Linked DNA regions of Struthio camelus. The protein of the gene in region 1 interacts with the protein of each later gene in a biochemical or structural test. Links are inferred from orthologs where the notes say so. Each region holds a gene or a part of one and is shown in the gene's direction. Other genes may lie near its edges.

Region 1 (9,881 bases):
TGAATCTGTAACTGCGCTCACAAACAAAAATCTGGCATTTATTTACATGATGGAAAGGGTGGCGAGGGGAAAGAGGAGAGGAGGATCTGTGAAGAAAGAGCTTTTCTTGCCATAAAATGAATGGGAATATAAGGACCCCTTAACAGAGATGCAATTTACACCCGCCAGGAGAGCGGTTAACACATCAGGCCTATCGTTTTGCTTGATCAGTGGAACGAGTGATTGTGCTTTATTCAGTCTTTTTTAAGATGTGATCCTTTCATATACGGGATCTCGAATGTGGGATCTTTTTTCTTTGTTTGTTACTATCTGGATGTATCCAAACAGCTCAGAAAGTGTAATTACAGGCTGTTGTGCTTAGCCAGCTGCGATGCCAGTACGCAAAGACGATCTGACTACAAACTAAAAAAAAAGAAAAGAAAGGCTTCAGGAAAAGGAAACTGTAGAGATGGTTGGCTGGGCCAGAGTCAGTGCTCTCTCTCTGGCTGAGAGAGTAGATAGCTGTACTGCTTGCCCCCCCCAAACACTCCAAAAGCGCTGCATATGACAACAAGAATTCACTAAATTCTGGAGCGTCTGATTTAGTAAAGCTCCACTAAAGCTCATGGTACTTTTGGACAGGGGAATTTGGTCCTGAAATACACATCTTGCTGCACCCACTGGCAACTATGTTACCATGTTGCAAGTGGAGAAACAAAAAGTAAAATGACAGAAAGTGAAAGAGCAAACTGAAATGACTCATTTAAACTCGGGAAGCTGAAGAGGCAGGCGCAGCAGGACCAAGGGGAGAAAGCCTCTGGAAGAAGGGCACAGAAAGGGGGATGGCAGAACCCACGGACACCGTGAGGAAAAGAGAGAGAAGGGAAAGGAGGAGAGCAGAGCGGCAAAAGAAAAGGAGAAGTTGCTGTTTGAAGGAAATAGGAAAGGGAGCTATTATTGAAACAGAGCAAAAGAGATGAGGAAAGCAGAGAAGGTCTGAAAAGGAGACAACAAAGGGTTAAATTGATTGAGAAGGGATATCAGACAGTGATGGTGACAAGCAGTAAGGACAGAAATGTGAACTGAGGAGAGAAAAGCAAGGAGCAAATGAATCTTCTCTTCAGCATTAAAGAATAAAAGAAGTTAAAGTTGCGCCCTTATTGGCAGCTAATTTCCCTCTGCAAGGCACATGCCCATCCACTCGAGCAGTATTAAATATACCAAGGTAGCAGTGTTTGCCATGCAGGCTCTGTTAATATCTGTCCTCTTAACTCCGTGGCTTTTAACTCCCTTCGGTTTTTGTGGCTCTTAATGCTTCCCAGTAGAGGTCCAATGCTTCCATGGTGAATTTGATCCCAGCTACTATACTATATACATATATATTTTTTTTTTTAAATCACCTTTTGGGAGACCCTTGGAAGCAGTCCACAGATGCCCAAGGAGTCCCCAGGCAGCAACCTGAAAAGCCCTGGGCTGGATGGGAGCTACTGCTGCTGCTTCTACCACAGAATAGTCCCTTCGCTCAAGCAGTAGCAACCTCAACTTTGGAAAACATAGTCCCAAGTTTCATCACTGCTGATGGTCTGGTCAAATGTCAAACTAGTCTGAGAACTAGCGTGTGTTTTGAGGAACAGGGGTATCTTACCGCATAGGTTCAGAACTGGATGTACGGCAGAGCACAAATCATGGCAGAAGTTAATTCTCACCACGGAAATATCGAATACCTCTCCTTGGCAGAGAGTTTAATTTTGTGCTGGTTTTGCAACACGGTACATCGGAGTTCCAGAACGCTCTTTCTCATATGTGTGCCATGGAGGGAAACACTGGACCCACCAGGGCTACAGTAATACAACTAAAACCACTGAGCACACAGGGAGACCGATTTTACTCAAGATATCCCTACACGTTTAATGTACATTTCGTTGCATGTTCCCCAGACCAGATGGGTTTAGTGGAATTGTATGACCATAAAACCACACAGGATCTGGATTTTATGGTGTTATTTCGACTGAGATTGTACAGTTTCATAAATTTTAAGACAAGGGAGAGCAGAAAGCTTTCATGGTGAGGGTGCAAATCCATTGCTTAGCAGCTCTGTAGAGAACCACATTTTAGTCTTAACCAAATCCCCGCAGTGTCTGAAGCAGCGTGAAGGGATGTGGAGGCAGGATGTGGTCAGGAAAAGGTAGAGGCAGGAGTGCGCTCCTCTCCCTGCGCGGGCTGCAAGGACAACACCATGGGGTGCTCCTCGGGGTGGTGTTTTCTCCACCGAGAGAAAACCCAGTAGCTGTCCGTGCTCTGGTGAGGAGCTGCTGTGCCTGGCTCCAGGGAAGGCAGGAGTAATTAACACTGACTTCGTGGCTGCGAAATGGTTGCTGTTTCGGCAGGATTGTCCCCTGAAGTTTCTGGTAGCAGCAGACAAATGAAAGAGAAGAGCATTGGTAAACGTTTAGAGGGAGGCAAATGAAAGGTATTTAAAGCCATGTTGCAAAACGAACCTGGCGAAGAGCATTAGAGCGTCTGGTGGCTCCACTGTTTAGCTTCCTGATATTCTTTATAGTTATATGTAACTTCTGGGAGCTGGAGTCGGACCCTACATCTTTACTGAGTCAAGTTAGCTTTGGGAGCAGGATCAAACCTATGGGATACACTGGAACTTAGCTTATTTTTCCCTGTGGTTTCATTTTCTTTTTTTACAGAAGAATTTCAAGCCAGGACATGTTTCAGTGGCCTAATCTTAAATGCGCACAGGAACAATCTCTCTGTTTGTTTTGCAGGGAGGAGCTCTCTCATTTCAGAGGCAGTTGAAGAATTAACACAACTGTTTTACTGTCAATTTCTAGTTCCAAACGTAGCTCATTGTCAATAATGGTACCAGCAGTAATGAAGAAGTGTTGTATAGAAAACAAACGTATCGGTTTAGTCTTGTGTAACACAGTACTATTTCAAAAACTCAGTAATCATCTGCCTACTTGGTGCAGTGTTGTGATTGTTCGGCAAATGTTAGTGACCCTTAAACAACAGGATAAGAGTACTTATTTTCCAAAGGTACTTCTAACCACATAGAAGGAGGGAATTGCTTTTTTTTCACCTTTACTATTCTGTGGCATTGCTCTACTTAGCTAAAAATACTCTAAGTTTCCATTTATGATACAGCTAGTAAAATAAGAATGGACAGTTGCTAAATCTTCTCTGTCAGAATTACAGCAAGCACCTGGTCATGACCACTAAAACTAATGTTGCTAAACCGTTTCCACAATAACTTCATGCTCAGAACTTTCCAACCAATTATCTTTTGAGATGAAATTTTCCACATTTGGCCTCCTTCGGGAGTAATACTTTTTCCTTTGGGTTTGAGAAAAATGACGCCAGCTGTTTTCGAGTGGGGCATGAATGGTAAAATTATGCCTTTGTAGTAATAAAAATTTCACAGACTGTACCAAGCTGAAAAGCAAAACTTGCTCTAGACCCCTGTGAAGAGCAAAGTTTTTGCCTGGAATTGTATTTGCCATTGATTTACATAGATTAACAAAGATAAGATAATAAACATGTTTTGAAAGAGCTGAGATTGATTTATCTATAGGCGAGTACTTGAGCCTACAGCTAGAAAAGCCTATAGTTTGCAAGAGTTGCAAACTGAGGGCTGCCAGGTAGGTCAGAGGAGCTCATTACGGCGTCCTCAAAGTGCCTTTCATCGTTTGAGGAGAGCAGGGAACAACTGTACCTACTGCAAGAGGAAAGCGAACATCGTTAGTCCAAGCTCTCTTTTCCTTTCCCACCAGATTTTCTTTCCTTTTTTTTTTTTTCTCCAAAGCAGACAATGAAGTATAAAATAGTGTTAAGATTGTGAAGTTGAGCATGCAAGCGTGGTGCCATTTAAAAAGCTAAGACTGCTATTCATGTCTATGCGACCAATGTACACACATTTAGGTATTTACATGCGTACACAGGCAGTCACACACGGAGGGGAGATACAAACCCACGGACGTTACATCAACTGGAATGTAATACCCTTGTTAAAATGCTCCAAGCAATTAGTACATCCCAGAATAAACAACTGGAGACATATTATCATAATACAGCCTCATTGAACTTTATGAAATTGATTAACTTTTTGGAACACTGTTGTTCAGGGTATAAGTTGTAGCTATAAATAAATGTATCAGTTAATACAGTTAGGACATCCTCAAGCTTTTAAATGTCCTGATCTTTCCGTACTTGGTACATAAGAAAGAGACCTGAAGACTTTGTTAACGGCCGTTTTTGCACCTCTGGAATATGCTTGTGTTGGATAACAGCGTGGGTGCATCTGCCCTTGCAAGCGTTGTGCGCCTCCTTTGGGCAAGCGTTTCTTTGACAGATCTATGTTCCAGCACTTTGGGGGCTGGTGGAGGCAATTTCTGTTGTTTAACGAATCAGGAAGCTACGAAAACAGAACAGAACAGAACAAAACCCCCTTCACCACAGCCAACACCGCCATGCTTCCCTGTCTCCTACGGCGGACTCTTTGGTTTTCCCTGAAAGCATAAGGACATCGTGAGCTGACGTGTTTTAAGAAAAGGATTTTTTGTTATTTGTTATTAGCTTCCTGTCATGCCATTGAATGGGTCTTTCCTCCTCAGGGTAAAAAGTGAAGTCGTCCTCTTCCACATGTAAACTGAACTTTTCGCTGACATTTGAAGCAGGACGGGGAGAAGGATGCGTGGGAGGAGGGGAGGGCTGAGCAATTTTTCAGTGAAGTAGGATCACATTTTTCAGCCCTTTTGAAAAAAATCTTCCCTTATTTTCACTTTCTCTAAGTGTGGTGAAAGGCTCTTTGGCTCGTTCTGGATCAGCAGAAGGCGTCCCACCCGCCGAAAGACGCCCCCCGACTGGCGGGGGAAGGATGAAAGCAGGACGGGAGAAGCGAAGCGGGAGAGCGCTCGCGGGGCCGGCGGAGCGCACGGGGCCCCCCCGCTACCGCCGCCCGGCCCTCCCGGACCCCGGGGCCGCCCCGGGCGCCCCCTCCCCTGCCTTCCTCTCCCCTGCTCGTCCCGTCGCTCGCGGCCCGGCACGCAGGTGCGGGGCGACCATCCGGCGGCGCGGCGCGGCGCGGCGCGGCTCGGCGCGGCGCGGCTCGGCGCGGCGCGGCTCGGCTCGGCGCGGCGCGGCTCGGCTCGGCACGGCACGGCACGGCTCGGCTCGGATCGGCGCGGCTCGGCTCGGCACGGCTCGGCTCGGCTCAGCGCGGCACGGCTCGACTCGGCTCGACTCGACTCGGCTCGGCTCGGCTCGGCTCGGCTCGGCTCGGCGCAGCTTGGCTCAGCGCGGCACAGCACGGCGCGGCACGGCTCGGCGCGGCTCGCTCGTCTTATGGTGCGCGCTCCGTGCCGCGCCGGGCCGGGCCGGGCCGGGCCGAGCCGTGCGGAGCCGTGCGGTGCGGTGCCGCCCCGCCCCCGGGCCGGCGGGGCCGCCTTGCATCACCGCCGCGGGCCCCCGCGCCCCCCCCGCCGCCCTCTCTCCCGCGGCGGCTATTAATAGCATGACATCAGCCCGGGACTCGCCGCCAGAGTAAATACCAGCGCTGCCCACTCGGCTATATAAGGGGGGTGATGCAACCGCGGCGAGAGGCAGAGGCGCGGCGAGCGGTGAGCGGGCGCTGCTCTCCCGGCGGCGGCGGAGCAGCAGCAGCAGCAGCAGCGCGGACGGCGGAGCGCGGACTGCCGCGGCCGGGGCAGCGCCGCGGGGCAGGCGCGGAGCCCGCTCCCTCCGGACCCTCCCGGGGCTGGGAAACCGGCGGCGGCGGCAGAGAGGTAGGTGAGAGCGGAGACGGTCGCGGGGACCCCTGGCCGGCGGGGGCGCAGCCCGCCGCGCTGCCGCCCGCCGCCCGGCGCGGAGAGGCGCCCCGGGGCCGGTCCCGACGAGCCGGGCGGAGCGGAGCTGGGACCGGCGCCCCCGGCCCGGCCGGGCCCCCGCGCCGCTGCCGGGGGGAGCCCGCCGGCCGCTGCCCCGGTGGCGGCAGTGCGGGGCGGCCCCGCGGCTGCTGCCCGCGCCCGGCCCGCGGGGATGCCCGGTCCCGGCTCCGGCGGCGGCGGCGCCCTGGGAGCGGCAGCGAGCGCCGTGCGATCTCGCCGCGCTCACTTTTCCCTCCGTGCCGGTGACCGCCGCGGAGAAGAGCGGTTGCTGAACTGTTGCCTAATCGAGTCAGGCGTGACACAACAGAAAACTTGCTAGAGAGAAGGAGTTTCCTGCCCGAAATCGATTCCCTTCGTAGTAAGAGCGTTTGAGGAGCTGGAAGCCAGCAGAGAGTGACTCGGGAATGATGTGGGATGTCAGAAGGCTTAAGGTCAACCAGCGTGCACAGAGGTTGCGAACTGTAATTGCCCTTAATGCTATTTAAGATTAACCTCAATGGTTATCGGGGTTTATTGCATCAGCACCAGAGGAAAAGGAATTTGTGTGAAGAAATAAAACCAAGAGGCTCAGTCAGCCGTGTACAGCTAAGCCAAAGAGAAAAGACTTGAAGCAGTCACTTATAGTATCAGTATTAAACTACAATACGCTTAAGTAATAGAGCCGGGGACCTCACAGCTAGGCACTGCATCCTGAAATTAAAATATTGTCCAACGAGATGTAAAAGTTCAGTGTAGGTGGAAGGAATCATCAGTAAAAGAACAAACAAAAAGTAGGGAGGGAACAACTCTCTAAAGTTGTTTGAGCCTACCAGAATTTGGAGGGAGCCATTAAGAGAAAAGCTGTTAACTGTCGAACTAGGGATAAGGCAAGGAAGCATTAACTCACACTGGGAGGGAGCTGTGCCTTTACCGGCCAGGTCTGTGACCTGTTCAGCACCTTCAGCAGCCAAGGGTTTCAGAGGTGTTCGGGGCAGCCTGGAGCCCAGGGCCACGCGCGCCCCTGCTCTGGCAGAGCAAACAGCAACGCTATCGGAAAGGCCCCAGTGTGCTCACCCTGTAAGGTTAGACAGTCCTGTTCCTGGTATTTCCCCAACTGTTTTAGGTTCTTTACAAACCCGAAGAAAATGGTACACTGCTTTTGATAGCTTATCGAGAGAGATAACGTTTGGACAAAAACTGGGAGAAAGGAAGGGAGGGCAAACTGTTGCATTTTTTTAATAACAAAATCTAATTTTTATTCTTGTAAAACATTTCTAAAAGCAGAACTCTTCTTCAGAAACAGGAAAATATCTACCTTACTGTTAAGAAAAGGAAATCTATTTAGCCTACTAGGTAGCTTTGAGACAAGGCTGAATATTTTTATTATTTATACCATGGTGGGTCCTACAGCTCTCAGGGCTGGAGAGGAGCCCTACCATGCTAGACACTGTCCACAAGCCCTGCTGCGGAGCCCCGAGCAGCGAACCGGCGGCACATAGCTCCACGAAATGGGAGTCGGCTGATGGCAGAAATCCTCACGCAAACCTCAGCCCCCCGGTAGGCCCTCCCTTCCCTAAAGTCTGAGTCAATAGAGGTGCCTTTCAGGATGTTGAGAAGGTCAGTGAGCTGCTCCGGCAGGAGAGCAGCAAGTTTCTACAGCCAAGGACACTTCCTTCTCCGTGCTTCCCCTTCGGGTGGCCACCTTCCCACTCCCCTTTTTTCTTTTTAAACCGAGGGGAGACCGACTGGAGTACCTGAGGATATTATAGTACAGTACAGTACTTACTGCTGCCAGTGCTACCCTTAGCACTAACAGAAATCCGGTGTGAACAGTGTTTCTCAGGCACTTGGCTGAAATATGAACATTCTTGGTTTCCTCTGGTGAGGAATATATGAGTAAAGGAATAAACCACCAGTGCTGGGAAACTGTGAGCCCAATTAATTATTTTGTAGGTTGTTACTGTTAATTTAAGAGTCCTGATTTGAGTGCATTAAACATAATTGACGTTGTCAAATGGAACCATCTCCGGGAGCCAAAGAGACTGACAGTCAGCAAACAGAGCTGCTAGCAATGAGGGGTTCAGCGCTATCTGGACTTAGCCTGTTTCAATGTGTTGAATGGTTGCCTGTTGGTAAATGGTAGATAATGTTGGGAGAAGTTTAGCTGGAAATTATAGGGATGTTTCTGACTTGTTGGAAAAGAGTAACTGCTTGCTTTCTGAAATTATAGGATTAAACTGTATCAGTACTTTAAACGTGACTCATGAGCAGGGGCTTTCTGGAGAGAATTACATAAATTTCCCAAGGTCTCTCTGAATAACAAATTGTTCCAAATAATTTCCCCGTCTTTAGTAACTAAAGGTGAAATCCGGGCCCCACTGAGGTCAACAGAAAAACTCCTTTTGACTGCAGTAGGTTCAGGATTTCACCTCCAGAATGTGGGAAAACTTCGGCTATTCTGTGGTCACCGAGTCTGAAAGCGAGGGGACCTGTGCAGCCGGACAGTGTCATTCTCTCCCATCAGGCAATTCGCTGTCCTCAGGATTTGTATTTACCTCACTTAGCAATGAACCAGCCTCTACTCTGACTTACAGCAGGGTGGATTTACGGTACACTTTTAGATAGCTCTGAGCAAAATCTATCTTCCTGTCAAGGCGCGTGATGCCCAGACGTTTCTTGCTGTGTTACACAGGTAGCATACAGGGAACTGTGCAGCTCTGGGCTGACTATGCGGAAATTTAACTTACCCACATTGCTACCCTGAGGCAGCTACTTGCTTACCTGCATTAAGTTAATTATAATTGACTTTGCTGTAATTATTGCAATTCTAGTCAAGAGTAGATAGCACATATTGTAATTACCCCAACAGCTATTTAAAAAAGAAAAACCCCAAAACAAAAAAACAGAAACCTACACAAATGAGGAAAAGGAAAAACAGCATGGTCAAATCCAATTTAAAACAAGTTGCTTTATGCATAAGAGGAGTAATATAATCTGATTCCATATGGATTTGCAGCTTTTGTCCCTCAGCCCAGACCTGTTATGACACCTCTTCTGGGCGAGGGACAGGGCATGTCGTGCAGGGCCGGGTGCGCTGGCCGGCTGGGGCACCCGTGGCGTTTGGTGGCTTGCTGCTGAGCTCTGCCTGCCTCTCCCTCAGCGGGGACACCATTTTTCACAAAGCGTGTAGGGGGCCTTTCTCCCTCTTCCAAATTCGGTTGTCGTTGCCCAACCAGCTTAAAAAATACATGAGGATGACTAAGAAGAGGAACCCGGAGAGCACCGTGGGCCAGGTTCATTTCCTTAGGAAAATTGCTAGAAATAAGGGAGAGGTTTCTCCATGGGTGTCTATTAGCATAATTCCGCTGAAGTCTCTTCAGTTACACTGTTTTATATCAGCAGGAGATCTGGCCATAAATATTTAAGAATTTAAAACCCTTGTGGAGGGCATTTGAGGACAGTTTCAGATTTTACAAGAGCAAAGGAATGAAACAAATGACTTCACATTCTTCATGACTTCTTGCCCCTAGCTCAGTCTGTGCTTTGAAAGTCCATCTTCATGTTTGTGCCAACTCCTATTTAGGAGTTTATAACCAGATCTTAACAGTCTTGTGTAAAAATGAACATGATGATTTTCTGGCAGGTTCTGCCCTTGCTCAGAAGACTTCAGCTTCTAGTAGAGCTGTTCTAACTTTACCTAAAGGTAGCTGAGATCAAACTTTGCTCTGTCCTTTTCAAGCTGGAATTTGATGGTTTAGCTCTGAGGATGGAGATACTCCTAACCTGATTCTGTATTTTAAATAATAGTAATGTTTGCCACACATTACCAGTGTAAAGCTTCACAGCACGTACACGTGAACATTTTTTCCGTCTTAAATTTCAGAACGATCTAGCAATTGTTTGATGTGCTAAAATTATTAAATATGAAATTGAAGTTGACCTAAGGCAGAAGTTTTTGCTAGTGATCAAATTGTTAATTGCTTGACTCCAGTGAGAGATGGCGGTATGTAGGGAATGTGGGTTGAAGCA
Region 2 (8,684 bases), on another chromosome or scaffold:
AGAATCATGTTGCTTGGAAGCCCCTCACAGTCTAATCTGGTAAAGTGAAGTTCACTTCTTTTACTCAGAAAATTTGTAATTGGAAATACTTTAAAACAAAAAAAAAAAATCACTTACGGTAGAGGACCTAACTTCAGTCTTTTCCTGAGAGTGAAAATGCTGTTTAGTTCTTCAGGGTCATCAGGTTTAATTTAGTGTTATCCTGTATAGTGTTTTAAGAACTAAGGCAAACACTTTTTCAGGATGGTTTGTTTTGTTTTTATACTTGAAACTTGGGAAACTTGTTGCATTTGTAACAGATGCAAACACTTTGATTTAACAACACTGAGCTTGAGAATGTTGTATCTTTACGTGAGTGGTCTTAAGGGTTCATTTTTAAAAAAAAACAAAAATTTAAGCCATCTCCTTTCTGGCTGGTCCGTTCTGTCTCTCTCCTGTGCCTTAGAGCACAGGCTAAGGGGAGAGCTTGGGATGAATGTTGCATTGGCCTTTGTAAGGGCTGTTTTCCATAGAGCTTTGTTGTAAATAAGGGATTCTCAATTAGTAGTATTTCTCCTTTGACTTCAGTTTAGAAGTTTCCTTTAAAGGAAAGGGGTTTTTATGTTTTACTGTGGAAGGCTAATATGCCCCTTACTCTATATTGCTTTTTCTTTCCTTTTTTTTCCCTGAAAAGCAGTTGGAACCGTTAAGTTTAAATTTTTTTTGCTTTGAATATTCTCTCCCTTGTGCCTGTGACATGAAGTCTTGCAGTCAGATTCCTGAGTTGAGACTGTTTGTTTGTTTGTTTTAAAGCTTATTTCTCATGGTGTGTAGTGATTGACTTCACTATAAGTACCTGTCATTTCATTTTCTACTAACTGTCCAGATATCTTTCCTTGGGGCCAGAGACCAGAGTGTGAACGTGCCCCTCTTGTAGGTCAGCAGGAAAGTTCCTGTGAATTTCCAGGTCAGGTTGCTTAAAGTCTTCCATCTCAAAGGTGCAGTGTCCCATGAGCAAAACGTACCTGCAGAATATCCTGGCTGATCTGAACTGAAACCCTGTGTAGGGTTACCGGGGGAAGAACGAGGCTGTAGATCTTGCCTCCACTTCCTGAATGACTATGTTTAATTTGAAGGTAAAAGCAGATACTGTGAGCAACTTGGGGGGGGGGGGGGTGTTGGGTTTTTTTACAACGGACTCCCATATTGAGGTCCACTCTGTCATCATCGCTGTTTTGAAGAGAAAGTAAGTGAAGTGCACGCTTTTCTATCTACTTATTTTTTTGAATGATTACAGAATTTTTGCTGAGTGGTGAGTAGGAATAAATCGCCAACCTGTAGAAAATGACTTCCTTCCTGTGTCTGCAACAAAGCTGGGCCTTACCAAACCCTTGTAAAAACCCTTCTTCTATCACTAGCATAAAGAATAAACAGCCAAGCAGACTGGCTAAACCTCTGGTCTCTAAAACCAGCTGCTGCGTGTTCTGCGTGGCTACCTTTCGTCAGCGTGGCCTCTGTTCCTCGGAGCGTCGGCAGCGAAAGCCCCATCCCAAGCGAGGCTCTTCTGCCAAGAAGCGAACTCCAGGCAGTGGGAACAGGGCACATGTGTCCTCCCTCCTGGAAACTCCGTCTCAAAGTAAACACCAATGTGGCATTTTAACAAAGCACAGGCTGAGCCCTGTGTCAGACTTTCCCTTCCCAACCTGCTCCCTCCCTTTCTCGTCCCTGCCTCCAGCCACAGAAACCCCATGTGTTACAGCTGCCCTAATGAAAAAGGAAACAACTGCAGTAGTGTCTGGATTTACGGTCTGTTCTGGCCAGATAATGTTCGTTGGAACAATGGGACCTTTGGCTTCGGCTCAGGGTAGAGTCCTCTAAGCGCGCCTTATCTCCTCGCGAAGCTTGGGGTCGGGCGTTTTAGCTCATTAAGTTCTGCTTTTGTTTAATTACAACCGTGCTCCTTATCGGTGTTCCCTTACTGCCTCCCCCTTCTTTGCATCCTGGGCCATGTTCTTTCCACCTCTTTGGGAGTGTTTTCAGGCCGAGCCGTCGCACGCGACGCGGCGGCAGGTTCTGTGTCGGAGATAACCGCGCGCGAGGGGCATCCAGCCCTTCTGTCGACGCAGAGCTAGTCTGCGGTTTCGGTCCTTCCTGCACGCTCCCCAAACTGCCTTCCTGTCCCAAAAAGGGTGGCCGAGGCCGGCGTGCGGCAAACAAACCCGGGCGCTCCAATCCGGCCCCATCGCAGCGTCTGAAACGAACGCAAGGAGGAGCGAGATAAAAGCGACAGCCGGAGAGGAGGGAAAAGGTCTAAGACGCGATGCCGGCGTGGACACGCGCGGCCTGGCAGGGCGAGCGGCCCCCGGCCGGAAAACCGGGGTGGGTCGGGGGGGCTGCACGGCGGGAAGCGGCCCCGCGCTCGTGTTCGCACGGGGCCGGCGAGCCGCTGGCGGCGCGGCGCGGCCGGCCGTGACTCATGCTTGTGTGCCTGCGTCTGGGAGACAGCACAGGAATAGTTACACGCCAGCCGCCTGCAACGCGGAGGGAGTGGCCGCTGAAATATTTCAAGGCTGCGCTAAGCAACTAAAAATACACGTCAAATCCTCCTCCTCATTTTCCTTTTTAATGTGTTTTTTTTTTTTTTTGTCTTTTTCTGATTGTTGCAAGCCCCTGGTGCCCGGGGGCAGCGCGGCCCCCTCGGCGGCTGGCGAGCCCTCGCGCCCCGGCTCGCTGCCCTCCCTGCCGCGATGACTAAGACGCCGCTTCCCTTGCGCGCGCGCGGGGCAGCCAACGCTCTGCTGGCCGTTCCCTTTTTCGGGGTAGCGGGGCCGGGAGGCAGGTGCTGGCCGGAGCGCCTGCTCTTCCTCCACGTGCAGCCTGGTCGTCGAGCGGCGGCGCGGCCGGGGTTTCGGGCTGGCGCGGCGGCTTTCTCTGCGGTGGCGGGGGAGCCCGGCTCTGCGCGCAGCCCGCTGCCCTCGGGGAGCTGCTCCCGCTCCCCTGGCCAAGGGGCACCGAGCCGCTCCGGGGCCGTTTGCACCCGCTGGAGCTGCCGCGGCTGCACCCGCTGCCGAGGAGGAAGAGCGAGGATCTCCGCCGTGGGGCTGGGAGGAAGAGCGGCGGCGCGGCCGGGCACCGGGGTAAACGCAGCCCCGCTGGCAGGCGGCGGGCCGAGCGCGAGCGGGAACAGCAGCCGGGACGCGGGCTCGGCGTCCTCCGGGTCACCGGCCGCCGCTTCCCAGGGCAGGCGGCAGGGCCTAATTAAACGCTCGTTAGGAAAAACGAAGGGCTGTGCTGCAAGCCGGTGCCGCGGGCGGCGCGGGTGCCCCGGCGGGGTTGCGCGGGGCCGGGCCGGAGCGCGGCTCGCGTCGCTGGCCGCCGGCCAGCCCCCCTTGCAGCGAGGCCCGGGGGCCGCTCGTTCCTCTCTGTAACTGATTAAAGCACCTAAAACCAAAGCTGTTTCTCATTTTGGCTGGCTGCGGCGGGGAGGGGGCGGCGGGGTGCCCGCGGGGGCGCGCGCTGGGTGCTCTCGGCGAGGCGCAGGGTGCACAGGGGGTGCACGCAGGGTGCTCTCGGTGAGGTGCAGGGGGTGCACGCGGGGTGCTCTTGGCAAGGCGCAGCATGCACGAGGGGTGCACAGTGGGTGCACGCCGGGTGCTCGGCAAGGCATGGCACGCGCAGTGGGTGCGCAGGGGTGCACGCCGGGTGCTCTCGGCAAGGCGCAGTGTGCACAAGGGGCGTGCAGGGAGCATGCCGGGTGCTCTCGGCGAGGCACTGCATGCGCAGGGGCGCGCGGGGGGTGCACGCCGGGTGCTCTCGGCGAGGCGTGCACGAGGTGCGCGGGGGGTGCACGCCGGGTGCTCTCGGCGAGGCGCGCACAAGGGGCGCGCAGGGGGTGCACAACGGGTGCTCTCGGCGAGGCGCGGCGTGCACAGGGGCGCGCGGGGGGTGCACGGTGGGTGCTCTCGGCGAGGCGCGCACGAGGGGTGCGCAGGGGGTGCACGCCGGGTGCTCTCGGCGAGGCGCGCACGAGGTGCGCGGGGGGTGCACGCCGGGTGCTCTCGGCGAGGCGCGCACGAGGGGCGCGCGGGGGTGCACGGTGGGTGCTCTCGGCGAGGCGCGGCGTGCACAGGGGTGCGCGGGGGGTGCACGCCGGGTGCTCTCGGCGAGGCGCGCACGAGGGGCGCGCGGGGGGTGCACGGCGGGTGCTCTCGGCGCGGCGTGCACAGGGGTGCGCGGGGGGTGCACGCCGGGTGCTCTCGGCGAGGCGCGCACGAGGGGCGCGCGGGGGGTGCACGCCGGGTGCTCTCGGCGAGGCGCGCACGAGGGGCGCGCGGGGGGTGCACGCCGGGTGCTCTCGGCGCGGCGCGGCGTGCACAGGGGTGCGCAGGGGGTGCACGCCGGGTGCTCTCGGTGAGGCGCGGCGTGCACGAGGGGCGCGTGGGGGGTGCACGGCGGGTGCTCTCGGCGAGGCGCGGCGTGCACAGGGGTGCGCAGGGGGTGCACGCCGGGTGCTCTCGGCGAGGCGCGGCGTGCACGAGGGGTGCGCAGGGGGTGCACGGCGGGTGCTCTCAGCGAGGCGCGGCGTGCACAGGGGTGCGCAGGGGGTGCACGCCGGGTGCTCTCGGCGAGGCGCGGCGTGCACGAGGGGTGCGCGGGGGGTGCACGCCGGGTGCTCTCAGCGAGGCGCGGCGTGCACGAGGGGCGCGCGGGGGGTGCACAACGGGTGCTCTCGGCGAGGTGTGCACAGGGGTGCGCAGGGGGTGCACGCCGGGTGCTCTCGGCGCGGCGCGGCGTGCACAGGGGTGCGCAGGGGGCACGCGCCGCGCCGGGCTCCGGGCTGCCCCACGAGCGTCCCCCCGAGCCCGCAGGGAGCCGGCCCGCGCCCTTCCCTCCCCTCCCCGCGCTCGCTCGCCGCCCGCGTTTCGCCAGGACGGAAAGTCCGAACCCGCTAACGCGGCCGCGCCCCGTAACGCGCCCAGCTCCGGCACGGACTCGAGGGCGGACACGCGTGGGAGGCGCCCGCGCGTGCCTCGGGGCCGCGCGCCCGCGTGGGCGGCCCTCCCCGCGGACACGCGCGCGCCCTCCTCCCCCGGCCGGCCCCCCCCTTCCTCCCACCCCCCCACGCGCGCTGCGCCGCGCGCCGCTCCACGCGGAGCCGCTCTGACGTCACCGCTGACGCCGATCCGCCCCCTCAGCCGCCCGCGGCGCGGCGCGGCCCGGCCCGACCCGAGCGTGACGCGCGGCCCCGGCTCCGCTTTAACTCCTTCGCCGCCGTCCGCCCCGTCGGGGGGGGGGGGTGGAGCCGGGCCCACGCGGGACGGCGGCGGCGGGGGGGGCCCGGCACGCACGCCGTGGCCGCGGTTCCCCCGGGGGAGGGCAGGGCCGCGGCCGCAGGTAGCGCCCGAAAGGGGGCCGAGGCGCCGGTAAAGACGAGCCCCGGCCGGGACCCCCCCGCTGCCGTCGGGGGTGGGTGGGGGGGGGAGCGCGGCCCGCCCCCCGGGCCGGTTTTCGGTTGTTCTTCGCAGCCTTTTTCCGGTGCCCGCCCCCGCTCGGCCTGGCGTGAGAGCCATGAGTTGTGTCCGGTCTCAGCACCTCCACCGGGGAAGCACCGGCTGCCCCGGGGAGCGTGCACGGGGCCGGATGCCCGGTGGAGGATGCACGGGGAGCGGAGGGGTGCCCGGTACCACCCGTCGGTACCGGTGCTGTTCTCCCCCCCCCCCCCAACCTTTGTGCCTATAAATACCGGCGGCGGGCGCGCGGCGCGGGGCCACGTGACCGCCCCTCCCCCCCCCGCCATGACGTCAGCCCAGGGGCCCTCGCGCTGTTGTGCCGTTTACCCGCCGGTCGCCCCGGCGACGGCGGAGCCAAAAGTGGGCGGGGCGACTCCCCCCTCCGCCCCCCTCCCTCCCCGCGCCGCTTCCCGGGACGGCGGGCCGGGAGAGTGGGGGGGAGGGGCGGGAAGAGCAGCGGGCGAGGCCCCGCCCCCTCCATGCAAATGTGGGCGGGCAAGGACGTCATCTGCAGCCAATGGGGGCGCGGTTCGGTGAGGTCACCGCGGCGGCGCCGCGTACTTAAGGCGGCGCGGGGGCCGGGGCGGCGGCAGACGCGTGTGCGCGCGCGCGCAGCACCGGGGCTGCGGCCGGTGCTACCGGGGCTTCCCCCCCCCCACCCTCCCCTTTCCCCCCCCGGCAGCGCTCGCCTCGGGCCGCCTTCCCTTCCCCCTCTGTGTTGTTGTTTGCTTTTTTTTTTTTTCCCCCCCTCCTCCTTGTTTTCCTTCCCCCCCGCCCCGTCCCCCGCAGCCGGGCGGGGGAGGAGGATGGAAACACCCTTCTACCATGATGATGTGTTGAGCGGCCTCGGCAGCGGCTTCGCCCCGTCCTCCGGTAGCACCGGGCTCCTCCTGCCCTTCCCCGGCGGCAGCATGATGAAGAAAGACGGGCTCGGGTTGGCGCTGCCGGAGCAGGTGGCGGCGGCGCTGAAGGCGCCCGGGGCGGCGGCGGCGGCGACGGCGGGGCCGGCGGGCGGCGAAGCGGCGGCGGCGGTGGGGCTGCTGGGCTCGGCCGAGCTGGGGCTGCTGAAACTGGCGTCGCCCGAGCTGGAGCGTCTCATCATCCAGTCCAACGGGTTGGTGACCACCACGCCGACCAGCGGGCAGTTCCTCTACTCCAAGGCGGCCGCTTCCGAGGAGCAGGAGTTCGCCGAGGGCTTCGTCAAGGCGTTGGAGGACTTGCACAAGCAGAACCAGCTGGGTACCGGTACCGGCGCGGTGGCGGCGGGAGGCGGTGGCGGCGGCGGTGGTGGCGGAGGAGGAGGAACCGGTGGGGCAGAGCTGCCCGCCGCCGGCTTGGCCCCGCCGCCCGAGCCGCCCGTCTACGCCAACCTCAGCAGCTACCCGACGGTGAGCTACGCCGCCGAGCCGGGCCCCTTCGCGGCACCGCCGCCGCGGCTGCCGCCGCCGCCTCCTCCTCCTCCTCCTCCTCCGCTGAAGGACGAGCCGCAGATCGTGCCGGAGGTGTCGAGCTTCGGCGAGAGCCCGCCGCTGTCGCCCATCGACATGGACACGCAGGAGCGCATCAAGGCGGAGCGGAAGCGGCTGCGGAACCGCATCGCCGCCTCCAAGTGCCGCAAGAGGAAGCTGGAGCGCATCTCCCGCCTGGAGGAGAAGGTGAAGAGCCTCAAGAGCCAGAACACGGAGCTGGCCTCCACCGCCAGCCTGCTCCGCGAGCAGGTGGCCCAGCTCAAGCAGAAGGTGCTCAGCCACGTCAACAGCGGCTGCCAGCTCCTGCCCCAGCACCAGCACCAGGTCCCCGCGTACTGAGGGTGCCGCCCCGCTGCGCCTCCGCCGCGGACTTTGCAGCGAGGGGTGCTCGGACGCCCCCTCGGATGGACCTGATTGGGGGGGGGGGGGGGGACGGACGGGGGCATTTCCCCCCCCCCCTCCACCTTTTGCCGCGCCGGCGCTGCTGGTGTGGACTGAGAGCAGCGTGGTGGAACACCCCCCCCTTTCTTCCTCCTCCTCCTCCTCTTCTTCCTCGGCCCGCTGTGGACTTAGCGCCCTCCCCGCCGTCGGGGCTGGGCTCTCCGGGCTGGAAAACCCCCATGGACTTGGAGGTACCAGGCGGGGGGGGGTGAGGGAGAGGACCCCCCCCCCCAGCCTTTCCACCGCGCTGCCCTTCCCGGGCACGGACTGGAGCAAAGGGGTCCGACCCCCGTCGGACTGAGGGGGCACCGGGACCCCCACAACTTCCCCCCCCCCCACGACGGACTGAGGGGGCGCTGGGACCCCTCCGACCCCCACGATGAACTGAGGGGGGCGCCGGGACCCACCTGATGGACTGAGGGGGCTCCATGACCCCCGATCCCTCCTTCCCCCCCCCACAACGGACTGAGGGGGGCGCCGGGACCCCCCCCCCCCGACCCCCGACGGGCCTCGGCGGCCGCGCCCGGGATGGCGGCGGCGGCGGCCCCGCGCCCGCCACATTCCAGTGAGGCCCCAGTAAAGCCCGCGCCGGGAGCTGCCGCCTCTCGCTGTCTGCTTCGCCACCGGGGGGGGGGGGAACCGGGGCGGGGGGGGGGACCGGGAAGGTTGGGGGGGGGCGCGGCGGGAGTTTTGGGGGTGGGGGGGGGGGGAAGGCCGGGCCTGCGCCGCCGGCGCCACAGGCCGGGCAGGAAGCGGCGCGGCGGCCGGCTGCCATCTTGGGGCGAAGGGGCTTGTGGGACGGTGGGGGTGTGGGAGGGGGCGGCTGGGGGGTCCCCGCGGGCGGTGGGGGTGTGGGGGGGATTTGGGGGTCGTGGGGGGGGGGAGCTCGTGGGGCTGGAGTGGGGGCCCTGGGGTCGTCGGGGGGGTCCTGTGGGTGTCATGGGGGGTCTCCAGGTGTCCCCGTGGGTGTTGGGGGTGGGTTTTGGGGTCCTGCTGGGGGTGATGGGGGCTCTAGGGTTGTGGGGGGTTGTGGGGGGGTCGCAGGGGGCTCTCCAGTTGTGGGGGGTCCTGTGGGTGTTGTGGGGGGGGCTCCAGGGTTGCCAGAGGTCCCCATGGGTGTTGTTGGGGGGGGGTTGGGGCCCTGCTGGGGGTCACGGGGGGCTCTAGGGTCTTGAGGGGGTCTCTTGGGCTGGAGGGGAGGCCCTGGGGTCCTGTGGGTGTCTTGGGGGGGTGAGGTCATGCTGGGGGTCACAGGGAGCTCTATGGTTGGGGGGGGGGTCCTTGG

What was found.
Region 2: the proteins of ATF3 (region 1) and JUND form a complex in vitro, tested with the Homo sapiens proteins (2 studies listed by BioGRID and IntAct, with this or other methods). The link is inferred for Struthio camelus from reciprocal best matches to the Homo sapiens genes ATF3 and JUND.

The regions. Positions count from the first base shown.
Region 1 is NC_090944.1:114,229,295-114,239,175, forward strand, and holds the start of ATF3 (cyclic AMP-dependent transcription factor ATF-3), read left to right. Parts: upstream 1-5,583; 5' UTR 5,584-5,771; intron 5,772-9,881.
Region 2 is NC_090967.1:5,773,670-5,782,353, reverse strand, and holds JUND (transcription factor JunD), read left to right. Parts: upstream 1-5,422; 5' UTR 5,423-5,968; coding exon 5,969-7,297; 3' UTR 7,298-7,377; downstream 7,378-8,684. UniProt on the Homo sapiens protein: Transcription factor binding AP-1 sites.